Callithrix jacchus: one gene and its partners. The protein of the gene in region 1 purifies or fractionates together with the protein of each later gene. This does not show direct contact. Links are inferred from orthologs where the notes say so. Each region holds a gene or a part of one and is shown in the gene's direction. Other genes may lie near its edges. The genes, in order: POLR2H, CRCP, POLR1E, POLR3K, DNAAF10, POLR3B and MED26.

Evidence for each region.
Region 2: the proteins of POLR2H (region 1) and CRCP purify together in Homo sapiens (affinity purification with mass spectrometry; 3 studies listed by BioGRID and IntAct, with this or other methods). This does not show direct contact. The link is inferred for Callithrix jacchus from reciprocal best matches to the Homo sapiens genes POLR2H and CRCP.
Region 3: the proteins of POLR2H (region 1) and POLR1E purify together in Homo sapiens (affinity purification with mass spectrometry; 3 studies listed by BioGRID and IntAct, with this or other methods). This does not show direct contact. The link is inferred for Callithrix jacchus from reciprocal best matches to the Homo sapiens genes POLR2H and POLR1E.
Region 4: the proteins of POLR2H (region 1) and POLR3K purify together in Homo sapiens (affinity purification with mass spectrometry; 3 studies listed by BioGRID and IntAct, with this or other methods). This does not show direct contact. The link is inferred for Callithrix jacchus from reciprocal best matches to the Homo sapiens genes POLR2H and POLR3K.
Region 5: the proteins of POLR2H (region 1) and DNAAF10 purify together in Homo sapiens (affinity purification with mass spectrometry; 3 studies listed by BioGRID and IntAct, with this or other methods). This does not show direct contact. The link is inferred for Callithrix jacchus from reciprocal best matches to the Homo sapiens genes POLR2H and DNAAF10.
Region 6: the proteins of POLR2H (region 1) and POLR3B purify together in Homo sapiens (affinity purification with mass spectrometry; 5 studies listed by BioGRID and IntAct, with this or other methods). This does not show direct contact. The link is inferred for Callithrix jacchus from reciprocal best matches to the Homo sapiens genes POLR2H and POLR3B.
Region 7: the proteins of POLR2H (region 1) and MED26 purify together in Homo sapiens (affinity purification with mass spectrometry; 3 studies listed by BioGRID and IntAct, with this or other methods). This does not show direct contact. The link is inferred for Callithrix jacchus from reciprocal best matches to the Homo sapiens genes POLR2H and MED26.

The regions. Positions count from the first base shown.
Region 1 is NC_133516.1:13,344,881-13,347,499, forward strand, and holds the end of POLR2H (DNA-directed RNA polymerases I, II, and III subunit RPABC3), read left to right. Parts: intron 1-153; coding exon 154-237; intron 238-1,704; coding exon 1,705-1,822; 3' UTR 1,823-2,119; downstream 2,120-2,619. UniProt on the Homo sapiens protein: DNA-dependent RNA polymerase catalyzes the transcription of DNA into RNA using the four ribonucleoside triphosphates as substrates.
Region 2 is NC_133503.1:3,198,850-3,202,349, reverse strand, and holds part of CRCP (DNA-directed RNA polymerase III subunit RPC9), read left to right. Parts: intron 1-1,630; coding exon 1,631-1,780; 3' UTR 1,781-3,500. UniProt on the Homo sapiens protein: DNA-dependent RNA polymerase catalyzes the transcription of DNA into RNA using the four ribonucleoside triphosphates as substrates.
Region 3 is NC_133502.1:144,473,317-144,476,816, forward strand, and holds part of POLR1E (DNA-directed RNA polymerase I subunit RPA49), read left to right. Parts: intron 1-1,171; coding exon 1,172-1,253; intron 1,254-2,032; coding exon 2,033-2,164; intron 2,165-3,373; coding exon 3,374-3,500. UniProt on the Homo sapiens protein: Component of RNA polymerase I (Pol I), a DNA-dependent RNA polymerase which synthesizes ribosomal RNA precursors using the four ribonucleoside triphosphates as substrates.
Region 4 is NC_133513.1:2,334,473-2,338,579, reverse strand, and holds the start of POLR3K (DNA-directed RNA polymerase III subunit RPC10), read left to right. Parts: upstream 1-1,307; 5' UTR 1,308-1,403; coding exon 1,404-1,514; intron 1,515-4,104; coding exon 4,105-4,107. Other genes in the region: SNRNP25 (U11/U12 small nuclear ribonucleoprotein 25 kDa protein), read right to left, coding at 941-982. UniProt on the Homo sapiens protein: Core component of RNA polymerase III (Pol III) which synthesizes small non-coding RNAs using the four ribonucleoside triphosphates as substrates. Can mediate Pol I proofreading of the nascent RNA transcript.
Region 5 is NC_133515.1:45,714,018-45,718,224, forward strand, and holds the start of DNAAF10 (dynein axonemal assembly factor 10), read left to right. Parts: upstream 1-1,407; coding exon 1,408-1,590; intron 1,591-4,207. Other genes in the region: RNA-binding protein PNO1, read right to left, coding at 336-485, 713-907. UniProt on the Homo sapiens protein: Key assembly factor specifically required for the stability of axonemal dynein heavy chains in cytoplasm.
Region 6 is NC_133510.1:109,362,176-109,365,675, forward strand, and holds part of POLR3B (DNA-directed RNA polymerase III subunit RPC2), read left to right. Parts: intron 1-1,456; coding exon 1,457-1,630; intron 1,631-3,500. UniProt on the Homo sapiens protein: Catalytic core component of RNA polymerase III (Pol III), a DNA-dependent RNA polymerase which synthesizes small non-coding RNAs using the four ribonucleoside triphosphates as substrates.
Region 7 is NC_133523.1:15,193,626-15,195,947, reverse strand, and holds part of MED26 (mediator of RNA polymerase II transcription subunit 26), read left to right. Parts: intron 1-696; coding exon 697-771; intron 772-1,390; coding exon 1,391-2,322. UniProt on the Homo sapiens protein: Component of the Mediator complex, a coactivator involved in the regulated transcription of nearly all RNA polymerase II-dependent genes.

The DNA.
Region 1 (2,619 bases):
CTCACAGAATTGCTGTGAGGACTAAATGGCGTCATGTTTATAATGTGCCTGTTGTTAAAATGCTGGCATCGAGTTACCAGTTACCATTTTTAAATGGCATCTTTTATATTGTTAATTACTGTTAAGAATAACTTTGCTACTCTTGCTCCATAGGGCTGACCAATTTGAGTATGTAATGTATGGGAAAGTATACAGGATTGAGGGAGACGAAACTTCTACTGAAGCGGCAACACGCCTGTAAGTTACATGATCTTGTGAGGATTGTTTTCCCCCTCCCTGTTCTGAGACTTTGAGTTATGCTTCTGCTTCCTCTGTTGGGTCCTTCTCCTTAGGCACCTCAGACATAGGTGGGAACTAGAAAGAAATGGTTATTAGAGCAGTTTCCAGTCTGAATTGTAGACTGCCCTTTGTCAGGCCCTCCTGGCCTAGTGGTCCAGAAGAGAAACTGGTCATCTCCCTGTTAAAGTATGGAGGAACCAAATGCAGCATTAAGTGATTATACTATTAGGCTGTGTGTGTGTGTGTGTGTGTGTGTCTTTTCCTTAAAATCTTATTAAAACAATATGTGCTGTTTGTAAGTAATTTGAAATGCGGAAGAGAATGTGAAGAAGAAAAAAAACCCTGTCATTCCATACCCAGAGAGAACCTTTTACATAGACTTTTTTGCATATCCTAGTGTTCTTTTTTTAAATTTATTTTTAATTTTTTGTTAATATCCTAGTGTTCTTAACATCTATATTTTTCCTTTGAGACTGCGGTGTTAATTACCTTTTTTCTGCTTTTTGCTTAACATTATGTAAAACATGTTTTGGCCGGGCGTGGTGGCTCACACCTGTAATCCCAACATTTTGTGAGGCCGAGGTGGGTGGATCACCAGGTCAGGAGTTTGAGACCAGCCTGGCCAACATAGTGAAACCCCGTCTCTACTAAAAAAATTACAAAAAATTAGCTGGGCATGGTGGCAGGTACCTATAATCCAGGTACTTGGGAGGCTGAGCCAGGAGAGTTGCTTGAACCCAGGAGGCGGAGGTTGCAGTGAGCTGAGATCTTGTGCCATTGCACCCCAGCCCAGGAGACAGAGAGAGACTCCGTCTCAAAAAAAAAGAAAAAGAAAAAGAAAATGTTTCCCCATGTTAGTGTAAAGCTTTCTTAAACATTTTAATAGTTAGATAACATTTCAGTAAGTGGATCCCATTCCCCTGATTTGGAGCATATAGGTGTTTTTCGACTTTGCTAATAGAAAGAACAATGCTGGCTGGGCGCAGTGGCTGATGTCTCTAATCCCAGCACTCTAGGAGGCTGAGGTGAGTGGATCACCTGAGGTTGAGAGTTTGAGAGCAGCCTGACCAACCTGGAGAAACCCCATCTCTATTAAAAATATAAAATTAGCCAGGTGTGGTGGTGTACACCTGTAATCCCAGCTACTTGGGAGGCTGAGGCAGGAGAACTGCTTGAAACCGGGAGGCAGAGGTTGCGGTGAGCCAAGATCACACCACTGCACTCCAGCCTGATCAACAAGAGAGAAACTCTGTCCCAAAGAAAAAAAGAACAGTGCCTTACACATATCTGTACATTCATCTTTGTCAGAATTTTGGTTCCTAGTGACAAAACAGTAGAAAGATGTTATTCTCTTTGTTAGGCTGAGATGGAGAGCTGCTGAGTAGTAGCTGCTCCAGACTCATGGCATGCGGCCTTCTGTTTCAGCTCTGCCTACGTGTCCTATGGGGGCCTGCTCATGAGGCTGCAGGGGGATGCCAACAACCTGCATGGATTTGAGGTGGATTCCAGAGTTTATCTGCTGATGAAGAAGCTAGCCTTCTGAACCTCGCCTGAAGCCAGCCTTGCTGCCACGTCACTCAGGTCCTGGACATCGTTCTAGCTTGAGTTGCAGCTGCTCTTGATTACCTGTTGAGGAGGGGCTGGTTCCCTGTCCACTGTGGCTGCATCTTTAACTGGCCTGCACTCAGTTAGAAACTCACTCGCCTGTGAAAGACACAGTGGGAGAGCTTAAAATCAATAGGAAGCTTTGTGTATATGATTTTTAATCAAATGTTACTTTTTCAGACTGCCCCTCCCCTTTTTGTAAAAAGTTCGTTTACTGTAAAATCATTTTTTCCAATTTGTCTGTGGTGTACTGTTTCTGGCCCGCAGCCAGCTGATCACTTGCCATTGTAGGATCTATTCCAGCCTTTTGGTATCTGGGTTCAGGGTTATCCCAGTCTCCTGGCTGACTGTTCCCAACGTTTATCCTCCAGTGTGGTTTTCTGTCTGGGAGAGGGAGTGTTGTGCTTTTGGCTCCTGAGGGCACCCCAGGCCCAGAAGATACCACCCATTTGGCACAGAAGTTTGAATTGGCAAGGAGCCCTGCTCGTGTCCTTCCAACACTTTCAGTCTCTTAGAGAGTCAGTTCACATTGACTTGAATGAGTCACTTGCATAGTCTCATTATTTCATTATTTTTGTGGAAGATTTGGGTAGAGGCTTTTAGCTACAGGCATGGGGGATGACTCTGAAGAGTCGGAGGAGAGGACTTGGTGCTTCCGGAGGCAGGTGGAGGAGCTGGCTCTCTGCTCTACATTCCAGTGGTGACCCGGGAGGGAGGGTAAGTGGAAGTGGACAG
Region 2 (3,500 bases), on another chromosome or scaffold:
GCTCACGCCTGTAATCCCAACACTTTGGGAGGGAGGACGAGGAAGGCGGATCACAGGGTCAGGAGTTCAAGACCAGCCTGGCCAACATGGTGAAACTGCGACTCTACTAAAAATACAAAAATTAGCCAGGCGTGGTGGCAGGTGCCTGTGAGCCCAGCTACTGGGGAGGCTGAGGCAGGAGAATTGCTTGAACCCAGAGGCGGAGGTTGCAGTGAGCTGAGATTGTGCCATTGCACTCCAGCCTGGGCAATTAGAGCAAAACTCCGTTTCAAAAAAATAAAGAAAAATACAAAAAATTATCTGGGTGTAGTGGTGCACACCTGTAATCTCAGCTACTAGGGAGGCTGGGGCAGGAGAATCACTTGAACCCAGGAGGCAGAGGTTGCAGTGAGCCGAGATCGTGTCACTGCATTCCAGCCTGGTGACAGAGCAAGACTCTGTATCAAAAAAAAAAAAGATTGGGCCGGGCGCAGTGGCTCACGCCTGTAATCCCAGCACCTTGGGAAGCCGAGGCGGGTGGATCACGAGGTCAAGAGATCGAGACTATCCTGGTCAACAAGGTGAAACCCCGTCTCTACTAAAAATACAAAAATTAGCTGGGCGTGGTGATGTGCGCCTGTAATCCCAGCTACTCGGGAGGCTGAGGCAGGAGAATTGCTTGAACCCAGAAGGCGGAGGTTGTGGTGACCCGAGATCGTGCCATTGCACTCCAGTCTGGGTAACAAGAGCGAAACTCCGTCTCAAAAAAAAAAAAATAATAATAATTACAGATGTGCTCATGAAATATAAAAGTACAGAAAGTACCATTTCACTTCTCAGAGGTGCATATACAATCTGTTGACTTCTGTGTATATAACTGTTAACATTTTTCTTTTTTTTTCCTTGGAGACAGGGTCTTGCTCTGTTACTCAGGCTGGAGGAGTGCATGGCTTGACCTCCTGGGCTCAAGTGATCCTCCTACCTCAGCCCCCTGAGTAGCTGGGACTATTGGCACATACCACCATGCCTGGCTAATTTTTTTTTAGAAATAGGGTTCTACTGTGCTGCCCAGGATAGCGTTTTCCTTTTCTTTAAAGAAAAATGCTATACTAGGCCAGGTGCGGTGATTCAACGCCTGTAATCCCAGCACTCTGGGAGGCTGAGGCAGGCAGATCATCAGGTCAGGAGTTCAAGACCAACCTGGTCAACATGGTGAAACCCTGTCTCTACAAAAAATACAAAAATTAGCTGGGCATGGTGGCACACGCCTGTAATCCCAACTACTTGGGAGGCTGAGGCAGGAGAATCACTTGAACCTGGGAGGCAGAGGTTGCAGTGAGCTGAGATTGCACCACTGCACTCCAGCCTGGGCAACAAACAGCGAAACTCTATCTCGAGAAAAAGAAAAGAAAAATGCTATCCTACAACTCTATTTTTACTGACCCATTTTGAGCCTTCTCACTGGCTCAGTCCAGGATGTGAGTTGGCTCCACCCTTCAATCTGGAAGATGGAGAGGACTCACGAGGACCTAGGCCATGAGGTCTGTGTGTCAGGAGGCCAGGCTGAGACCATGAGCACACGCGGTGAGCAGGGCTACCCAGGGCTATGAGTTTCATTTGTAACCCTGGAAGGTTTTCTTTCCTTCTGCAGATGGTGGAAGAGAGTGAAGAGCGACTCACAGAGGAGCAGATTGAAGCTCTTCTCCACACTGTCACCAGCATTCTGCCTGCAGGGCCGGAGGCTGAGCAGAAGAAGAATGCTAACAGCGACGGGACAATGGATGAAGAGGACCCAGCATAGAGGAGCACAGCTGGCCCTGGTGTTTCAGGAAGTTAAAAGGCCCGGCAGCTGTTTCCTGGACTTTAAGAGGATTGTTTATTTGATTTTACCCTCTATCCCAGCAGGCCTGGCTTTCATGATTAATTGGATACATCACAAAAATAAGCTGAAAAGAAATATTTGTGCCTTGGGGATAAGAAACGTGGTAAAGACAGGCTGAGAGCTGAAGGTGGGGCCAGTGACCTCGGACCCCTCTGTGCTGGAAAGATTTCCTCCAAGGCCTTCGACCTGGTTGTGGGGAGGTCTCTGCACACAGCGGGGGAAAATGCTTGTGTCGCCTTTGATGGGCCATGTCCTAATTAGTTTCATCTGCTTTCCTGGGAACTTACTAAGCGGGGGCTCAGAGTGCTGTTGGGAATCTGGTTAGAGCCCCAGAGAGTTGCTCTAAGTGAAAAATGATCCACTAACCTTGGCTCACTTTAGAGGAATTTCCTCGAGAACAACAGAGATAAGGAAAGAACCAGCCTGGCCATTCAACAGCTCTAGAGGCCCCTTTCTCTGCTGGCGGGGCTTTCTTTACTGGCTCTCTATTAAGGCTAAATTTTAGGAACCAGATCACTGCAGTTGAAAACAGGCGCCCCAGGCTCAGTGGCAGTGGCAGTGGCGGCAGAAACAGTGTCGGCTGCCTTTCCAGCCACCCCACTTTCCTGCCGTGAGACAGCAGCCCAGGGCAGGTGCTTTATGTTGAGACCAGGTGATTGTCATTTGGACAACAGGCAAATCGTTTACTCCTTCATCAAGGACACAACCAGGTAGCTCTTTTCACAGAATATGTAAGAACTGGAGGTTGGTTAATTATTAACATTTACTGGCTGTTGCAAGGTTGCATCTTTTTGAATTTAAAATATTAAGATGATTACCATGTGAAGACGTTTTTAATATTCAGGCTTTGGAAAGTGTAGTTGCTCTAGGCATTTGGTTGGTTGCCTTAGGTCCTGCAAATATTGCTGAAAACCAGATTCCCCACATTCCTTCTCTTGGCTGTTTTAGGGAAGAAAATGGTCATAGACATTAGCTTTTCTAAACTGACACTCCTTTTCTTGTAAGATTACATATTTTCAGTGCTAATTGGATGACTTATCTCTGAACCATCCTCTCCACTCCGCAGGCAATGGATTGCAATTCCATGCATCTTAGCGGTATCATCTGAGCTTCAGCTGAAATCTGTTAACAGGCAACATTGAAAGTACCAGATTGGAACTGGGTGCAGTGGCTCTCTCCTGTAATCCCAGCACTTTGAGGAGGTGATTGCAGGCAGATCACGAGGTCAGCAGTTCGAGACTAGCCTCATCAACAAGGTGAAACCCCATCTCTACTAAAAATACAAAAAAAATTAGGCAGGCATGGTGGTGTGCACCTGTCCCAGTTACTCAGGAGGCAGAGGCAGGAGAATTGTTTGAACCTGGGAGGCGGAGGTTTGCAGTGAACTGAGATTGTGCCACTGCACTCTAGCCTAGGTAACAGTGAGATTCTGTCTCAAAAAACAAAACAAAACAAAACAACTTAACAATTCATGGAGGTAGAGAGAAGAATGGTTACCAGAGGCTAGGAAGGGTAGAGGGAGTGGGTAGGGATGGCTAATGGACATAACGTAGAAGGAAGAAGATCGAGTGTTTGATAGCACAACAGGGTAACTACAGTCAGCAATGATTTATTGTACTTTTCATCTTTTTTTTGATAC
Region 3 (3,500 bases), on another chromosome or scaffold:
CAAGCAGTTTTCCTGCCCCCATCTCCCAAGTAGCTAGGATTACAGGTGGGCACCACCACACCCAGCTAATTTTTGTTTTTTTTAGTAGAGATGAGATTTCTCCATGTTGGCCATGTTGTTCTTGACCTCCTGACCTCAGGTGATCCACCTGCCTCGGCCTCCCACAGTGCTGGCTGGGATTACAGGTGTGAGCTACCGCGCCCAGTCTGTATTTGCTTAGTTCTTTTTTTTTGAGATGGAGTCTCACTCTATTGCCCAGGCTGGAGTACAGTGTCACAATCTCAGCTCACGGCAACCTCCGTCTCCCGAGTTCAAGCGATTCTCCTGCCTCAGCCTCCTAAGTAGCTGGGATTACAGGTACACACCACATTACCTGGCTAATTTTTGTATTTTTAGTAGAGGTGGGGTTTCACTGTATTGTCCAGGCTGGTCTCAAACTCCTGATCTCAGGTGATCTGTCCACCTTGGCCTCCCAAAGTGCTGGGATTACAGGTGTGAGCCACCTCGACCAGCCACTTAGTTCTTATTTTCACATTCCAATTCCACCTTTCCCTCTCTGTCTCTCTGAGCTTTCAGCACAATTTTGTTTTCTAACGTCATGTTAAATCTGCGTCCTACTGGGACGCCTGTGGCTCACGCCTATAATCACAGCACTTTGGGAGGCTGAGGTGGGTGGATCACCTGAGGTCAGGAGTTCCAAACCAGCCTGACCAACAAGGAGAAACCCCATCTTGACTAAAAATACAAAATTAGCCAAGTGTGGTGGGGTATGCCTGTAATCCTAGCTACTTGGGAGGCTGAGGCAGGAGAACTGCTTGAAGCCAGGAGGCAGAGGTTGCAGTGAGCTGAGATTGTGCCATTGCACTCCCTCCTGGGCAACAAGAGCAAAAATACGTCTCAAAAAAAAATTCTGTGTCCTTAGGCCTCGGGCTGTGGTTTCTTGTTACTGGCCCCTCACCAGCATCACTCTTGCAGGGAGGTCTGCCAGCAGAAGTGCACCGAGCGTGTCTGCATTTTGCCATGGCTGTTCTGCTTTGTGGGTCCTGCTTCTCTTACCACCTGGTTCTGGTCATTACAGTGGCCCAGCTGTTGGCCTTTTCTCTCAGCTCATGGTTGAGGTGTGGCCTGAGAGTTTTAAGAGAAAATGATAAAACTTAACTTTGTGTTGTAGATTCCCTGGGACCTGACATTCCCCACATCATCAACACCAAACTGCTGAAGCACTTTACCTGCTTGACGTACAACAATGGCAGGTCAGGGGGTGGTTTCTGGGATTTTTCCTGTGCAAGGGAAAGCAGGTAGGGGGAGTGAGGAGCGGGGGCTTGGACTCAATTTCATGTCCACAGATATGCAGTGCTAAAGAGATTGCTGCCATTTGGAAGTCTCCTGGGGCCCCAGAAAGTTCAGCAAACGCTAAATATTACTCTGTCCTTTTTGGAAAAGTATTGTCTTTTGGGAATCTTAGAAGCTCTGGGAAGTCCTACAATAGAGACTTGTTTTACGTCACATACTTCTTTTGAGGAGCCCTTCGTGATGTCCCACAGAGCTGGTGTTCTTCGCAAAGGCAACGTTGCATGAAAGGGCAGGCCAACTTGGGGACTTTGGGGAAAGACCCACAAGCAATGCCCGTGGGCTTTCCTTCCTGCCATCTGCATGGAATGTGTTTCCTGCTCCTGGGTGTGCTTTGAAGAATCAGCACAGTTGATTTGGGAATGAATGTTTTCCCAGCAACCCTGCTATGCAGGCGGGGACAGACTCAGAGGGCCCTCACCAGCTCGAAGTGCTAGTGGTACCCAGGGAGTGTGTAGGCCCAGCTTTCTCTCTCCCTCTCAGAGGGAAATGTGGACTGGCACACTGCTCCACTGTGTATGAGGCCCAGGAACCTTGGGAGGGCAAACAAGCCATCTACATTCCTTTTCCTTTCCTTTAGTTCCTGAGTGCATATGGGAATACGCTTGGATGTTCTTATTTTGCTTTTGGAGAAATTGTCTTAGACTTTAATTTTGTTTCTTCATTGCCATTGATATTCTAGATTACGGAACTTAATTTCGGATTCTATGAAGGCGAAGATTACTGCATATGTGATCATACTTGCCTTGCACATAAATGACTTCCAAATTGACCTGACAATGTTACAGAGGGACCTGAAGCTCAGTGAGAAAAGGTGAGCACAACAGAATAAAGAGCTCCCTGCAGGGCACCTTGATGTCTTACTTCTGGTACCACTGGAAAGCATGAGGCGCCACTAAGGGAACTGAGGATTTTTAAATGTAGGAACAACTTGGAACTAGAGGTCTATTTTCAATGAATCAATAATTGACTGAATGAGCAACTAGACATTACTGAGTGCCTTCTCTTTGCAAGGCACAGTCTTAAATTGTCATTATCTCATTGATTTCCCTAGAAAACAATTGAAGAATCAGGTTTAGAAAAGTACATGACTTTCTCAAAGTTATACAACCAAGAGGGGAGCAGTTGGACTTCAGACCTGAGCCTTTCCATAACATTCTGTTCCTGAATAACCAAGCAGCCTCCATTCTCTGAATTTCTGTTACTGGGGAGAGGGATTTTGTATGGTTCTGAGGATGCAGCCAAGGATGGAAGTTGTAGGAGAACCCAACTGCCACTTAGTAAGAAGAGCTTCCTCAGAATCAGATGGAAGGGCTTGCCCAGGGGAGGTGTTCAAGGACAGGTGGAACCTTGAACCACTGTTTGGCAGGGATGTCATATTTGCATTTTTCTGACCCGACTGGGAGAGCTGGTGGTGGGGATGACCTTTCAGGCTCCCTCTAACCTTGTAGAGGAGATTCAGACAGTAGGGGCAGAGCTGCCTGGGAACCTAAACCGTGGGGTCAGCTGATCTTTGTCAGTGATATAGGGGCATGTGATATCCAGGGACCCAGATGGTGTCTAGGAGATCCAGTGAACACACCTCCGTCTGGACTCTCCTAGCAGTCCATGGAGGGACTGTTCTGAGAGCTGTCCACAGACCGTGTTCCCACAGGCCCTGGGGCTGAAAAAAGAGAACAGGTACTTGGAACCCATCAGATTCTAGCAAGTGCTCAATGCTGATTGCTAAAAATTTGGTTATGGGTGGTAAAGAAAGTTGTCCATAGGGCTCTAAGATAGTCTGGTTTTTCATCACCCACATGGATCTTTCGAAGGGCGGCACATTAAAATGAAATTGTCTATCTGAGGGCTTTCAGTGGGTGAGGGGACCTTGCCTGTCCCTCTGCCTGGGGCTTTGCTCCTGCTGGCAACCTTTGGGATTCTGTCTTTATGGCCTGGAGCATGAATGTGCTGCTACCTTTTGCCATACCTCCCTGAACAGTCACATTGAGGAGTCTCTCCCATTGTTCTGTGTCTTCCTTAGGATGATGGAGATAGCCAAAGCCATGAGGCTGAAGATCTCCAAAAGAAGGGTGTCTGTGGCTGCCGGTGATGAAGAAGATCACAAACTGGGCACCCTGTCCCTCCCACTGCCTCCCGCCCAGACCTCA
Region 4 (4,107 bases), on another chromosome or scaffold:
GTGGGAAATTTACCAGGGTAGCAAAAAACGGTATTAACTATAAATATTTTAACACAACATTTAAGAAGCACAAGGCCAATTAAAAAATCCATGAGCAAAATATCAAACATTTAGAATTGGCCGGGCGCGGTGGCTCATGCCTGTCACCTCAGCACTTTGGGAGGCCGAGGTGGGCAGAGCACGAGACTGAAACCATTCTGGGCAGCATGTTAGATCGTGCTACTGCACTCCAGCCTGGCTCTGTCTCAAAAAAAAAAACCCACTCAAACAAAGTATCGTGCCAAAGCATGTTGGTGCTTGAGGCAAATGGAACAATCAGTGCTACGAATCTTGCTCTTGTTTAAAACTAGATTTTTTTCTTTACTGTAGGCTTTTTTTTTTTTTTCATCAACTTTTACTTTTAAAACTATTACAGACTGGGCGGGTGGCTCACACCTATAATCCCAGCACTTTGGGAGGCAGAGGCAGGAGGATCGCCAGAGCCCAGGAGTTCGATACCAGCCTGGGCAACATAGTGAGACCCCCCCCTCTCTACAAAAAATTTAAAAATTAGCTGGGCGTGGTGTCCCGCACCTGTGGTCCCAATTACTCGGGAGGCTGAGGTGGGAGGATGGCTTGAGCTCAGGAGGTCCAGGCTACAGTAAGCCGAGATCGCGCCACTGCACTCCAGCTTGGGTGACAGAGCATGACCCTGTCCCCCAGACCCCCTCTAAATACAATTACATTAAAAGGTCATTTATTGTCACTCACTAGTGAGGTTTCTGGTGCCTCTTTAAATTTCGCGCCCCAGGCGAGTGCGCCCTACCCAGGTTAAGACCCTCGTTTACACCCAGAGGCGCCTTCTCCCATCAGCACCTTCAGAGGCTGCACGTACCCGAACGCCCCGGCTCCCGGCCCCCGGGGGAACGACCCCAGCCCCCCAGCCTCCGCCCGCACACACCTGGATCGGCAGATCGCAGAGCAGCGGGTCCTGCACCACCATGGCCAGACCCTCCTGGAACACGTCCACGGCCTCGGAGTGAGGCAGCGTCTCCTCTTCGTCCTCATCGTCCTCTTGCGCCTCGGGCCGACTCGCGGCCTCGACCTGCTCCAGGACTGCGCGTCTCAGTAGGGCCCCGCCCGCACTGCCAAGCCGCACTACGGAGGCCAAGTACGCAGGCGCAGGAACGGGGGCCCGCCCCAGCGAGGCCGCCCAGCCATTGGTGCATCGAGGGGAGGGGCAGTTGCAGTGACCAATGACAAGTACGAGATAGCCTGCTGGGCGCGCAGAATCGCCCTGTCTATTGGTTGGCTGGGCGGGGCGGGGCGGCTGCCGGCACCGACGTGAGCTCGAGGCGGGCGGTGTGTCGGCGCTGAGGGACGGCGGGAGCTGCTGGGAGCCGGGCCCTGTGGAGTCGGAGACGATGCTGCTGTTCTGCCCCGGCTGCGGGAACGGGCTGATCGTGGAGGAGGGACAGCGCTGCCACCGCTTCGCCTGCAATACGTGCCCCTACGTGCACAACATCACCCGCAAGGTGGGACTCGAAGGCGGGCGTCTCTCGCAGGACTTCCGCTTCCTCCGACTGCAGCGCCTTCGCCGCCAGCCCCGGCGTGTCTGTGCCTCTGCCCTTTCCTTCTCTCGTTTTTTTTTTTTTTTTTTTTTTTTTTTTAAAGTGAGACATCCTCTCGCTCTGTTGCCCAGGCTGGAATGCAATGGCGCGGTCTCGGCTCACCGCAACCTCCTCCTCCAAGGTTCAAGCGATTCTCCTGCTTCAGCCTGCCGAGTAGCTGGGATTACAGGCGCCCGCAACCACGCCCGGCTAATTTTTTTTTTTTTTTTTTTTTTTTTTTTTTTTTTTGAGACGGAGTTTCGCTCTTGTTACCCAGGCTGGAGTGCAGTGGCGTGACCTCGGCTCACCGCAACCTCTGCCTCCTGGGTTCAGGCAATTCTCCTGCCTCAGCTTCCTGAGTAGCTGGGATTACAGGCACGCGCCACCATGCCCAGCTAATTTTTTGTATTTTTAGTAGAGACGGGGTTTCACCATGTTGACCAGGATGGTCTCGATCTCTTGACCTCGTGATCCACACGCCTCGGACTCCCAAAGTGCTGGGATTACAGGCTTGAGCCACCGCGCCCGGCCTGGCTAATTTTTTTTTTTTTTTTTTTTTTTTGTATTTTTAGTAGAGACGGGGTTTCACCGTGTTGGCCAGGCTGATCTCAAACTCCTGACCTCGTGATCCGCCCGCCTCTACCTCCTAAGGTGTTGGGATTACGGGAGTCAGCCATTGCGCCCGGCTGTCCGCTCTTTCTCGCGCCCCCTTCCAGTCGGCAGCGGATCCCGTGGGCTCTGCTTTCCTGTACACCCGGCTAGGCCGCCGTTTCCCGCCTCCCTGGGTTCCTGCTCTCACGCTTGCGCCCCTTACTGCGTTCGCAGCAGCGGCCACGGCGATTCCGTAAGGGCCGAGTCACACAGGTCCGTGTTGTGCGCAGAAACTTTCGACCTTTCCCAGCTCACGCAGGGGAAAAGCCGGAGTCCTCCAGGACCTACCAGGTTCCGACACTGAGCCGCTGCCCGGCGCTCCTCCTGTTGCCCTTTGCCCCATCAACACCAGCCTCCTGGAGGACTGGCACTTAAGGTTGCTTGGTTCACTCTTCCCCTAGAGCCGGCTTACTCACTGGTCTGGTCTTGTCTTCAACGTTGACTGTATTTTAAGTTGCAGCCCTTCCTTCTCAGTTATCCTCCTTCCCTTTTTTTTTTTTTTTTTTTTTTTTTTGAGACGGAGTTTCGCTCTTGTTACCCAGGCTGGAGTGCAATGGCGCGATCTCGGCTCACCGCAACCTCCGCCTCCTGGGTTCAGGCAATTCTCCTGCCTCAGCCTCCTGAGTAGCTGGGATTACAGGCACGCGCCACCGTGCCCAGCTAATTTTTTTGTATTTTTAATAGAGACGGGGTTTCACCGTGTTGACCAGGATGGTCTCGATCTCTTGACCTCGTGATCCACCCGCCTCGGCCTCCCAAAGTGCTGGGATTACAGGCGTGAGCCACCGCGCCCGGCCCCTCCTTCCCTTTTTAATTGTTTCCATAGGGCTTATTACCTCCTAATATATTATGTAATGTATTGTGTGCTTTGTTTATTAATAGTAGGACCTAAGGTCTAGGCGGGCAGGGTTTTTCTCTGTTCCTTTCCATGTTCTATTCTGAACAACTAAAAGGAAACCTATGACATAGTAGCTGTTCAGTAAGCAGATGATGCACTGTATTATAACTTATTACTTTTCCTTAATAATACAGATTTGCTTTTTAGAATACCTTTACTTTTGTTTTTTTTTTTTTTTTTTTTGAGACACCGTTTTGCTCTTGTTGCCCAGGCTGGAGTACAGTGGCGTGATCTCGGCTCACTGCAACTTCCATCTCCGTGGTTCAAGTGATTCTCCTGCCTCAGCTTTCCAAGTAGCTGGGAGTACAGGCGTGCGCCACCACCGGCTATTTTTTGTATTTTTAATAAAGACAGGGTTTCACCATGTTGGCCAGGATGATCTTGAACTCCCAGCCTCAGGCGATCTTGCCTTGGCATCCCAAAGTGCTGGGATTACAGCTGTGAACTGTCTTTTTTTCTTTTTTTGAGATGGAGTCTTGCTCTGTTGTCCAGGCTGGAGAGCAGTGGTGTGATCTTGGCTCACTGCAACCTCCATCTCCCAGGTTCAAGCATTTCTTACGTCTCAGCTTCCCGAGTAGCTCAGCTACTTCATCCTCCTGAGGCATCTGCCACCACGCCCTGCTAAATTCTGCACTTTTAGTAGAGATGGGGTTTCACCATGCTGGCCAGGCTGATCTTGAACTCCTGACGTCAGGCGATCTGCTTGCCTTGGCATCCCAAATTCTAGGATTATAGGTGTGAGCCACCATGCCCGGCCAGAATACCTTTACTTTTCAGAAGTTAGAACGTCGTGGTGTGACCTCAGTCTTAATGTTTGCATACTACTCCGTTTTGTACTGTGTTGTGGGAGTGTAGAGTCTGAAACTGTGGGAAGAGTGAATTCTTATGCAGTCCTGAAATTTGAGGTTTGGAGGCCCAAGTTTGCACCATTTGGCTACTTTGAGTCTGAAGGCTTGTTTTTGTCAGGTA
Region 5 (4,207 bases), on another chromosome or scaffold:
AAAGCAGCAAGTACTTATGTTCATTGTTTACTTACTTCTATTTATGACAATCTCTTTACTCGACCTTTTCTCAATTTGATATTGAACATTATAAAAGATATACAGAAGCCGAACCAGTATTTTGGTATGATCTCAGAACTTACAAATCCAACTAATATTTGTATCAAATGCAGATTTTGAAGGCATTTGGGAAGTTCAAACTCAATATAGTAAATTTTTAAACTGGACAAAAACCATTTAACAGAATACGTCCCCTTAAGTAAAGTCTATTCAAGCCTTTTCATCTCTAGGAGAGAAAGCGTGGTGTATTGGGAAATGGCTGAGATTTTCCTTACCCTGATTTCTACATTCCTTGATTTCAAGTTAAAGCGTATCTGAAGTCCCAAATGTTCCACAATAGGAGTAAATATCTTCATCCAGTTTTCTTTTAATGGTGTGTATCTGTTAGCTGGGACCGGAATTTTCCTTGTTTCTTCTTTCCCACTCTGTAATAAAAGAACACACAACTCAGGAAACTATGGAGGGATGGTGATGGAGTTGTAAAATGACATCTGATCCACAAAGGGCTTCCTTTAACTGAACTAGTTACACTTCAAAGAATCACTTCTTTCAGCAAAACAGCCCCCCGCAGCTTCAACATAGCCCAGAGGCCACCGGCTTGATTGGCCTCTGGCCATTGCCTCGTTGCTATCCCACGGTCCCAGCCACATACCAGGAGCCCGTCACCACAGAGGGGCGGGAAGACTGGCCTCTTCGCCGGCCTGGCCTCTTCTGTGTCCATAAGGCCCGCATCCCCGCCCTCTCCCGCTGCGGACAGCTGTTCAGCCTGCCGTTTTTTCGCCCGCCGGCCACCCTTGCGGGTGACCTGGGTAAAGCCGTCCTCTGCCCCGGCGCTCTGTGCTTCCATTTCGGATTCCAACCCTGGGATTCTTAAAGCACTTCCGGCTGAAACACGTGCGCTGCTCCACAGCGCAGGAGCCAGCCTCTGCCAACCACCCCCGCAGCTCCGCCCCTATCCTAAAACGCCACAGGCCGGGGACCTGCAGAATTTGGGGGCGGGGTGGAAAGGGCATGTAGGCTGTCCTAAGATATGCCTGATGCTCATCGTCTCACTCCAGTCACGCCACTCACAGCACAAGTATTTTGTAATCTCTAATATGTATGTGTGCTAAAGACAGTGGGTAAAGGCGATAAACAAATTCGTTTTGTTGTGAAGGAACATTCTATGCGATCGCAGGAGCGTATCTGGCATTATCCGGAGATAACCACAGCCAACTTTCTAGGGCATCTGGGGCAGAGTACGGAAAGCAGGAGGGTCAAATTGCCCATGTTTGGAGTCTGGTTTCCAGGTTGGTGTTTTGGGGGGCTCTGGGTGTGGCGGTTGCCGGAGCTGAAATCGGCTGGACCATGTCGGCCTTCGAGAAGCCTCAGATCATCGCCCATATCCAGAAGGGCTTCAACTACACGGTGTTTGACTGTAAGTGGGTGCCCTGCAGCGCCAAATTTGTGACCATGGGCAACTTCGCACGGGGCACCGGCGTCATTCAGCTGTACGAGATCCAGCACGGGGACCTGAAGCTGCTTCGGGAGGTGGGTGCCGGGTCAAGCATCTGGACTGCCGTTGGGAGCGCGTGCAGATCCTGGGATCTGCATTTCTCTTTGCCAGAGTCTTCGTGCAGCATCCCCCCAAAGCATAGCTTGAGCCGCGCAAGACCAGAGAAGCTGACCGCCGACTGAGGAATGTTTCCTACTTAAAATGTTTATGCTCATCCGCGGGCTAGTTCCTCCGTGTCCAACCCTCCTGTCACTCCCAGTGCAGTCCGGCCAAAGCGGGCACCAGTATGCCTGCAGTATAGTTGGAAGAGGCAACCTAACACATTCGACAGGTATCAGTTGAGTGCCTGGTATTCCCAGGCATGTCAGTGGCAATGTCCCCGATCTCATGGAGTTTATTTTCTAGTGGGAGAGATACTCAGTTCGGTAATCAAAGCAACGATACGTAAATACAAACTGAGATGACTTGTCTCACACAAAGTAACATGATAACGGCTCTCTGAGAGTGAAAACAGATTTGGGATGAGTAAAAACTGATTTTGGTATGTGCATAAACTAGGCCGAACGAGGAGTAAAGGACAAGGTTTCCAGAGCTTCTGCATATGCAGAAGCTCAGTGATGGGAGGAAGTTTATCTCCTTAAGAAACTAGAGGGGTAAGCAGGAAGCAGACATTACAAGAGCTGTAGGACATTGAAAGGATTTATGCCTTTTTTCTAAGAAAAATGGAAAACCATTGAAAGGATTTAAGCAGGGTGTGGCAAAATTAGGTTTACACGTTGATTACTAGCGAAAGAATTAAAGAATAATAATCACTAGCATTTTATAGCTGTTTATAGTTTTTAAAAACTCTTAATTTAGGTTACCTAAAAGAAGAAAAAAGATCAGTCATAATCAGATCAGGGTTGTAATAGACTACTAGCGCAGGGAAGGTTAAGAACTCTGGGGATCAAAATTTATGGAGAGAATCGGCTTGGAGGAGGTAGGGACTACACTGGTAGCTAAAGGATGAATACAGTTGTTTGGACTGGTAAGTCTGGAATAGAAAGTATGTAAGACCCCATCCCACTTGAAATTTCCCTGAATAACAAACATGAAACATGGCCTATTCCTTTTTACCTTTCCTTAGCGTCCAGTAACCTGTGGCTTTTTTTTTTTTTTTTTTTTTTGACAGGGTCTCACTCTGTCACCCAGCCTGGAGTGCTGTGGTGAAAACACAGCTCACTGTGACCTCCACCTCCCTGGCTCAAGGGATCCTCCCACCTCAGCCTCCAGAGTAGCTGGGATACAGGTGTGTGCCACCACACCTAGCTAATTTTTTTGTACTTTTTTTTTTTTGGTAGAGATGGGGTTTCACCATGTTGCCCAGGCTGGTGTCCACCTCCTGGGCTCAAGCAGTCTGCCCGCCTCGGCCTCTCAAAATGCTGGGATTACAAGAGTGAACCACCGCACCCGGCCACCTGTTGCTATTCTAATGTTCAGTTCAGATTATCTAATGTATGATGTCCTTCCTGATTTCTACACAAAGTAAAATTTCTTTATATCGCATTTGGGGTTCTTTTTGTTTTTTATTGTTGTTTTCTTTTTTTTAGAGATGGCGTAGTTCTGTCACTCAGTCTGGACTGCAGTCGTATTGTCATACCTCACTGTAGCCTAGAACTCCTGGGCTCAAACCATCCTACTGCCTCTGCCTCCCAAAGTGCAGGATAAGGTGTGAGCTACCATTAAAAAGAAAAGGCATTTAAAGGATTTTCATTTTTTATTTTTTTTGAGACGGAGTCTGGCTCTGTTGCCCGAGCTGGAGTGCAATGGCGCGACCTTGGCTCATTGCATCCTCCGCCTCCCAGGTTCAAACTAGTCTGCCTCAGTCACCCTAGTAACTGGGTTTACATGTGCTTGCCACCGTGCCCAGCTAATTTTTTTGTATTTTTAGTAGAGATGGGGTTTCACCATGTTGGTCGGGCTGGTCTCATACACCTGACCTCAGGTGATCCACCCGCTTCAGCCTCCCAGAGTGCTGGGATTACAGACTTGAGCCACTGCATCTGGCCATTTATTCCTTTTTCAAAGAAAATGGGACATGATTGAAATTTTTCTTTTCTTTTTTTTTGTTTTTGAGATAGGTTCTCACTCTTGCCTAGGATGGAGTACAGTGGCAGGATCAGGGCTCAGACTTGTGACTTTTTAAAATAAGAATAGGCCTGGTGCAGTGGCTACACCTGTAATCCCAACACTTTGGGAGGCAGAGGGGTGGATTGCTTGAGCCCAGGAGTTAAAGACCAGCCTGGGCTACAAGATGAAACCTCATCTTTACTTTTTGTATAAAATAATACAAAAATTAGCTGGGCATAGTGACATGTGCCTGTAGTCCCAGCTACTTAGGAGGCTGTGGTGGGAGGATGTCTTGAACCCAGAAGGTCAAGGCTGTAGTGAGCCATGATTGCACCACTGCACTTCAGCCTGGGTGACAGAGAAAGACCCTGCCTCAAAAAATAATAAAATAAGAATATATGATTTGTACGCATTTCAAAAGTACGCTTACTCCTTTAGGTGGAGTAGAGTGCTTTGTCTTTTGTAGAAACGCTAGGGAATTTCAGCAAATTTTAAAAAGATAATTTTCTTTTGTAGCAAAAGTAATATGTATTTGTGATAGAA
Region 6 (3,500 bases), on another chromosome or scaffold:
GAAGAGATGTAGATGACTCAATTCCTTGACCATTTCAAACTGAGCACATGCACATGTCTACTGAAATGATAGACATATGTGTGCTTAAAATTGCAAAGAGAGAAGAGAGGAGATTCTCAAGATAATAATCACCTCAGCAGTGAGACCCTAATTGGGTCAGATGTGTTTCTCCCCTAAATGCTGTCTCCTCTAAACTTCCATTTCAGTTACAACATCCAAAAACTATTTGAGAGTAACATAAATGTCAAAGCAGTTATTTCCTATATTTTGCTTTGTTGTGTAGAAAAAGTTATTACTTTGGTATTACTTTTGTGTCTGCCATATGAAGACTGCCTTGAATGCATTTGTCTGTAGTCAGTTATCTCAGTTGGCTAAAATCCAAGTATTGGATTCTGTCTACATATGGTCTGTCTACCTTTACCTTGTTCAGTGACCTCAGGTGCAGGGAGCAACTACCCATGTGTTTTTCTACTACAGGTAAAAATGTATAGATGTGCTCAGTTATGAAGTTTCCACTATAATGTGTTTATTTAGACCTGTTTGTAAGTTCTTCATGTGTAGATTTCCCTTCAACAAGTAATCTACAACTTCTTTGATCTCACATTGAAACTTTCAACCACAATTTTTAAAAATCTTAAAATTTCAGTATGTGTTGGCATACCCTGTGTTCACCTTCTTAATTCTTGGGGAGACTGGCAGCAACAACAAAGATTAAAAGATGCCATGGAATACAGCAGACAACGGGTGCATGGTCACCCCTGCTCAAAGATTACCTTTAAGAAGCCTGCCAGGGAGCTTGCTTCCCCCTCCCCCAATAATTTGTATGATCCATACCTACATAGCATTGCCTCAATTGTTGAGAACCCCTAATTTTACCTGCATTAGGTCCTGGATTCTGAGCCTTTTAAAGTATTCTCAAGCCCAGCATATACATAAACCACAGGGAATCCATTCAAGGGGCTAACAGCTCTGGCTGAAACTACTGGAGGATCCAGATTTCTCCCACAGTCTGTTCTGCTTAGTTTTTCTGCTTTTAAATAATAGAATACTGAGACATCTTTGAAAATACTCAAAGAACTTGTTCCCTGATTTGAAAACTCTGCTATCCTAATAATAATGATAGTGATGGTAATAGTAATGCTAGCACTGGTGTTTTCTGTGATTATATATTAACATGTTATTACATCATATGATATTATGTAATTATATATTAATTTCATTTAACCATAAGAACCATCAATAATACATCTTTTCTCAGTTGAGGCTCTTTGGGATAGGTATGCTTATGCACTTTTACAACGAGGCTGAGCCGCATGTTCAAAGTCACTGTCCAGTTAGTGATTTGGATCCAGGCGAGCCCTGCTCCAAAGCCTCGTGTTCTCTGCCAGGATGTGATGCTGCCTCATTGTTTGTTTAATAGAATAAGAACACATTTGTCTAATAACTTGTTTCAAAGGCAACCCACTGAAGGACGGTCTCGTGATGGTGGCTTGCGTCTTGGGGAAATGGAACGTGACTGTTTAATCGGTTATGGAGCCAGTATGCTTTTGCTAGAGAGACTAATGATTTCAAGTGATGCCTTTGAGGTTGATGTCTGTGGGAAGTGTGGCCTTCTCGGGTATTCTGGCTGGTAAGTGAATACCATATGTCTCCCATACCACACTCCTTGCCTCTTAAATCATAGCTTAAGAAATGACCGTGGATCCTACTGGCATGTTCTCTAGTCTCTGTCAGTGATCACTAACATACCCTTTCTCATGCGTGTATTCCTGTCATTGGGGATACTCTATGCGCATGTATCATTAGTCTATATGATGATCTACTTCCTACACAACCAGAGGCTAAGCTCCCAAGGAGTATAAACTTTATCTTCTTTTAAGTATTATCTCAGGTACTTTTTACAACACTGTTTACCTGTGAAAGTCCTAGCAGATGTATTGTGGATGTTAGAATAACAGTGTGTTAAAGAACCTCTTTAAAGAAGATTATGTCAAGTGCTTTCATTTGCAACTTCAGACCCAAAGAGCCAGGGATGCTTCCCCAGCTCTCATAGCAAATTGGTGCCAAGACCAAGATCTGGTACCCTGCCCCTGTCTATACTCTCTGCCGTGGCAAGCTCCTTCACACTTGTACTGTAGATTCTGTCAGGGCAGAAGCTGGGTCTGTCTCATTAATTTATTCAGCAAACATTTAGTAGGTGTCTGCTAAGTGCTACACACTGTTCTAGGCCCCAGAAATGCAGCAGTGAACGAGACAGGTGATGGCTGCTCCCAAGGAGCTTATCTTCTAGTTCATTGTCATTGCATTCTGTCATGTTTACCCTCATTTCTCCAGACTGGGACCTGGTATATGCTTCATCAAAAAGTACTGGATGAATGATACTCTGCATTTTATTTTTTTGTTTGTTTGAAGACAGGGTCTCACTCTGTTGCCCAGGCTGGAGTGCAGTAGTGCAATCTCGGATCACTGCAGCCTCAATCTCCCAGGCTCATGTGATTCTCCCACATCAGTCCCCCGAGTACCTGAGACTACAGGCTCACACCACCACACCTGGCTAACTTTTGTATGTTTTATAGAGGCAGGGTTTCACCATGTTGCCCAGGCTTGTTTCAAACTGCTGGGCTCAAGTGATCTCTCCCAAAGTGCTGGGATTACAGGCATGAGCCACCATGCCCATCTAAAAGTGAGTTCTTTACTTTTCAATCAGAGGCAAGGTCCAACAAGATCTAAGGCAGAAGGCATAGAGCTGCCAAACAGCCTCAATGCCCCCATCGCCCTCACCTGCCCTCCCCAGAGTGCCTTTTCTGTAGAGAGGGGTCATCCCCAAGATATAGTTAGGTCCAAATAGCATTCATTTGCTGGGGTTTGAGGAATATGTGGGCCACCTTTTCCCCATTGAGTCCCCACTGTAAAGTCTCCTTCCAGACAGAGTCTCAACTTCTTGTCATTCTGAACTACTAATTTCTAAGTTGAAAAAAGCCAATCACAAGTTGAACAAATGAGCTTCTTAGAACACACTGTATACCTTGCCAGATAAATGTCAAAACCTTTTAGCCAGTTATTTCATGATTTTGGTGTAGAAGACTCTTTGTCTGTGAAGAAATCATTTCATTTTAAAAACTGACAGAAGAGGTGGCCATTTGCAGTTCATCTTCCATAATGTTGCAGACAACGGGTGACATGATTCCAAGAATAAGCCTAGCTCTTTCTTATAGGAATGAGATGGGGGTTTGCTTCCGTCCTGAGATGTCTGTTTGTCTTTTGAAATGCATGTTGAACTTGCTTTTTATAGTCTGGGCTGTGCAACCAAAAAGAAAATAAATCATGTAATAGGAAGATGCCTGGATCCTAGTTCCACTATGCTTAAATCTTCAAATTTGACACAAGGACTTTTGAATAATTTGCTTTGAAAGAATGGTAGAGAAGAATCATGTCATTAAAAATAGAGGTTGTGGGCCTTCAAAAAGAGTTTCCTTTTCTCTTCCTCCCCCTTGCATTCA
Region 7 (2,322 bases), on another chromosome or scaffold:
CTTTTGTTTTTGAGATGGAGTCTCACTCTGTCACCAGGCTGGAGTGTAATGGCACGATCTTGGCTCACTGCAACCTCCACCTCCCGAGTTCAAGCGATTCTTCTGTCTCAGCCTCCCAAGTAGCTGAGACTACAGGCACGTGCCACCACACTTGGCTAATTTTTGTATTTTTAGTAGAAACGGGGTTTTACTATGTTGGCCAGGCTGGTGTCGAGCTCCTGACCTCATGATCTGCCTGCCTCAGCCTCCCAAACTGCTGGGATTACAGGTATGAGCTTCCACTCCTGGCCTATATATTGATCTTCTAAGCTTTGTGCATTTTATTCAATGAATTCTTCAGTGTCCCCTCTCCCACTCCCATCATATGGCAGAGTAGAGGTCGTCTTAACTATCAGGAGCAGCTCTGATTTAAGAGTCCTGGGTTTCAGCAGGTAGGTGGGTGGGTATGCACTGTGTAAGGGCTTGGGGCAGACCACACACCATGCACTAGAGGAGGTCGAACGGCAGGTGGGGATGAGCACTGGGTGCCAGGTTGGCCCAGGGAGCAGGTAGGAGACTACCTGGAGTGTGGGCTTCAGTGCTTCCAGCTCCTCTTGCTCTGGGGTTGGGGAGAGACCCAAGCAGCCTGGGGCTGGGTGTCTCAGCCTCCCAGGGGGAGAGGACAGGCACCTAACAAATGGCTTTTTATTTCCACAGATCCGGAACATGGTGGCGGTGCTGGAAGTCATCTCCAGCCTGGAGAAATACCCCATTACCAAAGAGGCACTTGAGGTGAGTATCCCACACCCCAGCATGGGGGAGGGCAGAACGGGGGGCAGGGGGCGGCTCCAAACCAGGTCCTTGGGAACATCAGTCTCTTTGCTTCAGAGGACCAAGAGAGGCAGTGTGCCGTCACAGCATGTGCCCCACGATCATGGTCTCCCATGGGCACTGCAGGGACGGAGTGATGTTAATCCCATCCTGCATGCCCACTTTGTGGGCACGTGGGGGACATCGGGAGAGGTGTGCTTGGGGAAGGCTCCAGTGAGTGGCACCATCCCCAGCCCTCCACTTGAAGCAGGCCCTCTGTGCTGTCACCTTGGCAACGGCACCCTCTCACCCAGAAAGCCTCTCTGGCAGTGTCCTTGCAGTGACCTGACGGGCCACAGCCCCCTGGCACCGGAAGCACTGCCAAGAAGCCACCTGTGACCCTTAAGGTCTGGGGACTGGGTTCAGAAAATATTGTCACAAAGGGCCAGAAATCCCCAGAGGTTGTGTCGGGGAGCTGGCAGTTTAGGGCTCAGTGCGAATGGGGTCATTTCAGAGTCAGGGCCACTTCCCACCATTTCTGGCTCAGCTTGTGGGGAAGCCCCTGTCTTGAAAGTATGTCATCATCTCTTTCTGGTTGTAGGAAACACGGCTTGGGAAGCTCATCAACGACGTCCGCAAGAAAACCAAGAACGAGGAGCTCGCCAAGCGGGCCAAGAAACTACTTCGGAGCTGGCAGAAGCTCATCGAGCCAGCACACCAGCATGAGGTGGCACTGCGGGGGCTGGCAGGGGCCACCGGCTCTGCTAACGGGGGCGCACACAACTGCCGGCCAGAGGTCGGGGCGGCCGGCCCGCCCAGGAGCATCCACGACCTGAAAAGCCGCAATGACCTCCAGAGGCTGCCTGGGCAGCGGCTGGACAGACTGGGCAGCCGCAAGCGCCGGGGTGACCAGCGTGACCTTGGCCACCCGGGGCCGCCACCCAAGGTCTCCAAAGCTACCCATGACCCCCTGGTCCCCAACTCATCCCCCCTCCCCACCAATGGGATCAGTGGGAGCCCAGAGAGTTTCCCCGGCTCCCTGGATGGCAGCGGGCATGCAGGCCCGGAGGGCAGCCGCCTGGAACGTGGTGAGAACGACAAGCACGGTGGCAAGATCCCCATCAATGCCGTGCGGCCACACACCAGCTCCCCAGGCCTGAGTAAACCCCCTGGGCCCTGCTTGCAGGCAAAGGCTTCAGTGCTGCAGCAGTTGGACAGGGTGGACGAGACTCCAGGGCCTCCCCACCCCAAGGGGCCCCCTCGCTGCTCTTTCAGTCCTCGGAACTCACGGCATGAGGGCTCCTTTGCCCGGCAGCAGAACTTGTATGTACCTAAGGGCTCCATGCCCAGCCCCTCACCACGGCCCCAGACACTTGATGCCACACAGGTGCCGTCACCGCTTCCACTGGCACAGCCGTCCACACCCCCTGTGCGGCGGCCTGAGCTGCTGTCCAGCTCGGAAAGCCCAGTACGCTGGCTTGAGCAGCCTGAGAGCCACCAACGGCTGGCAGGGCCAGGCTGCAAGGCTGGGCT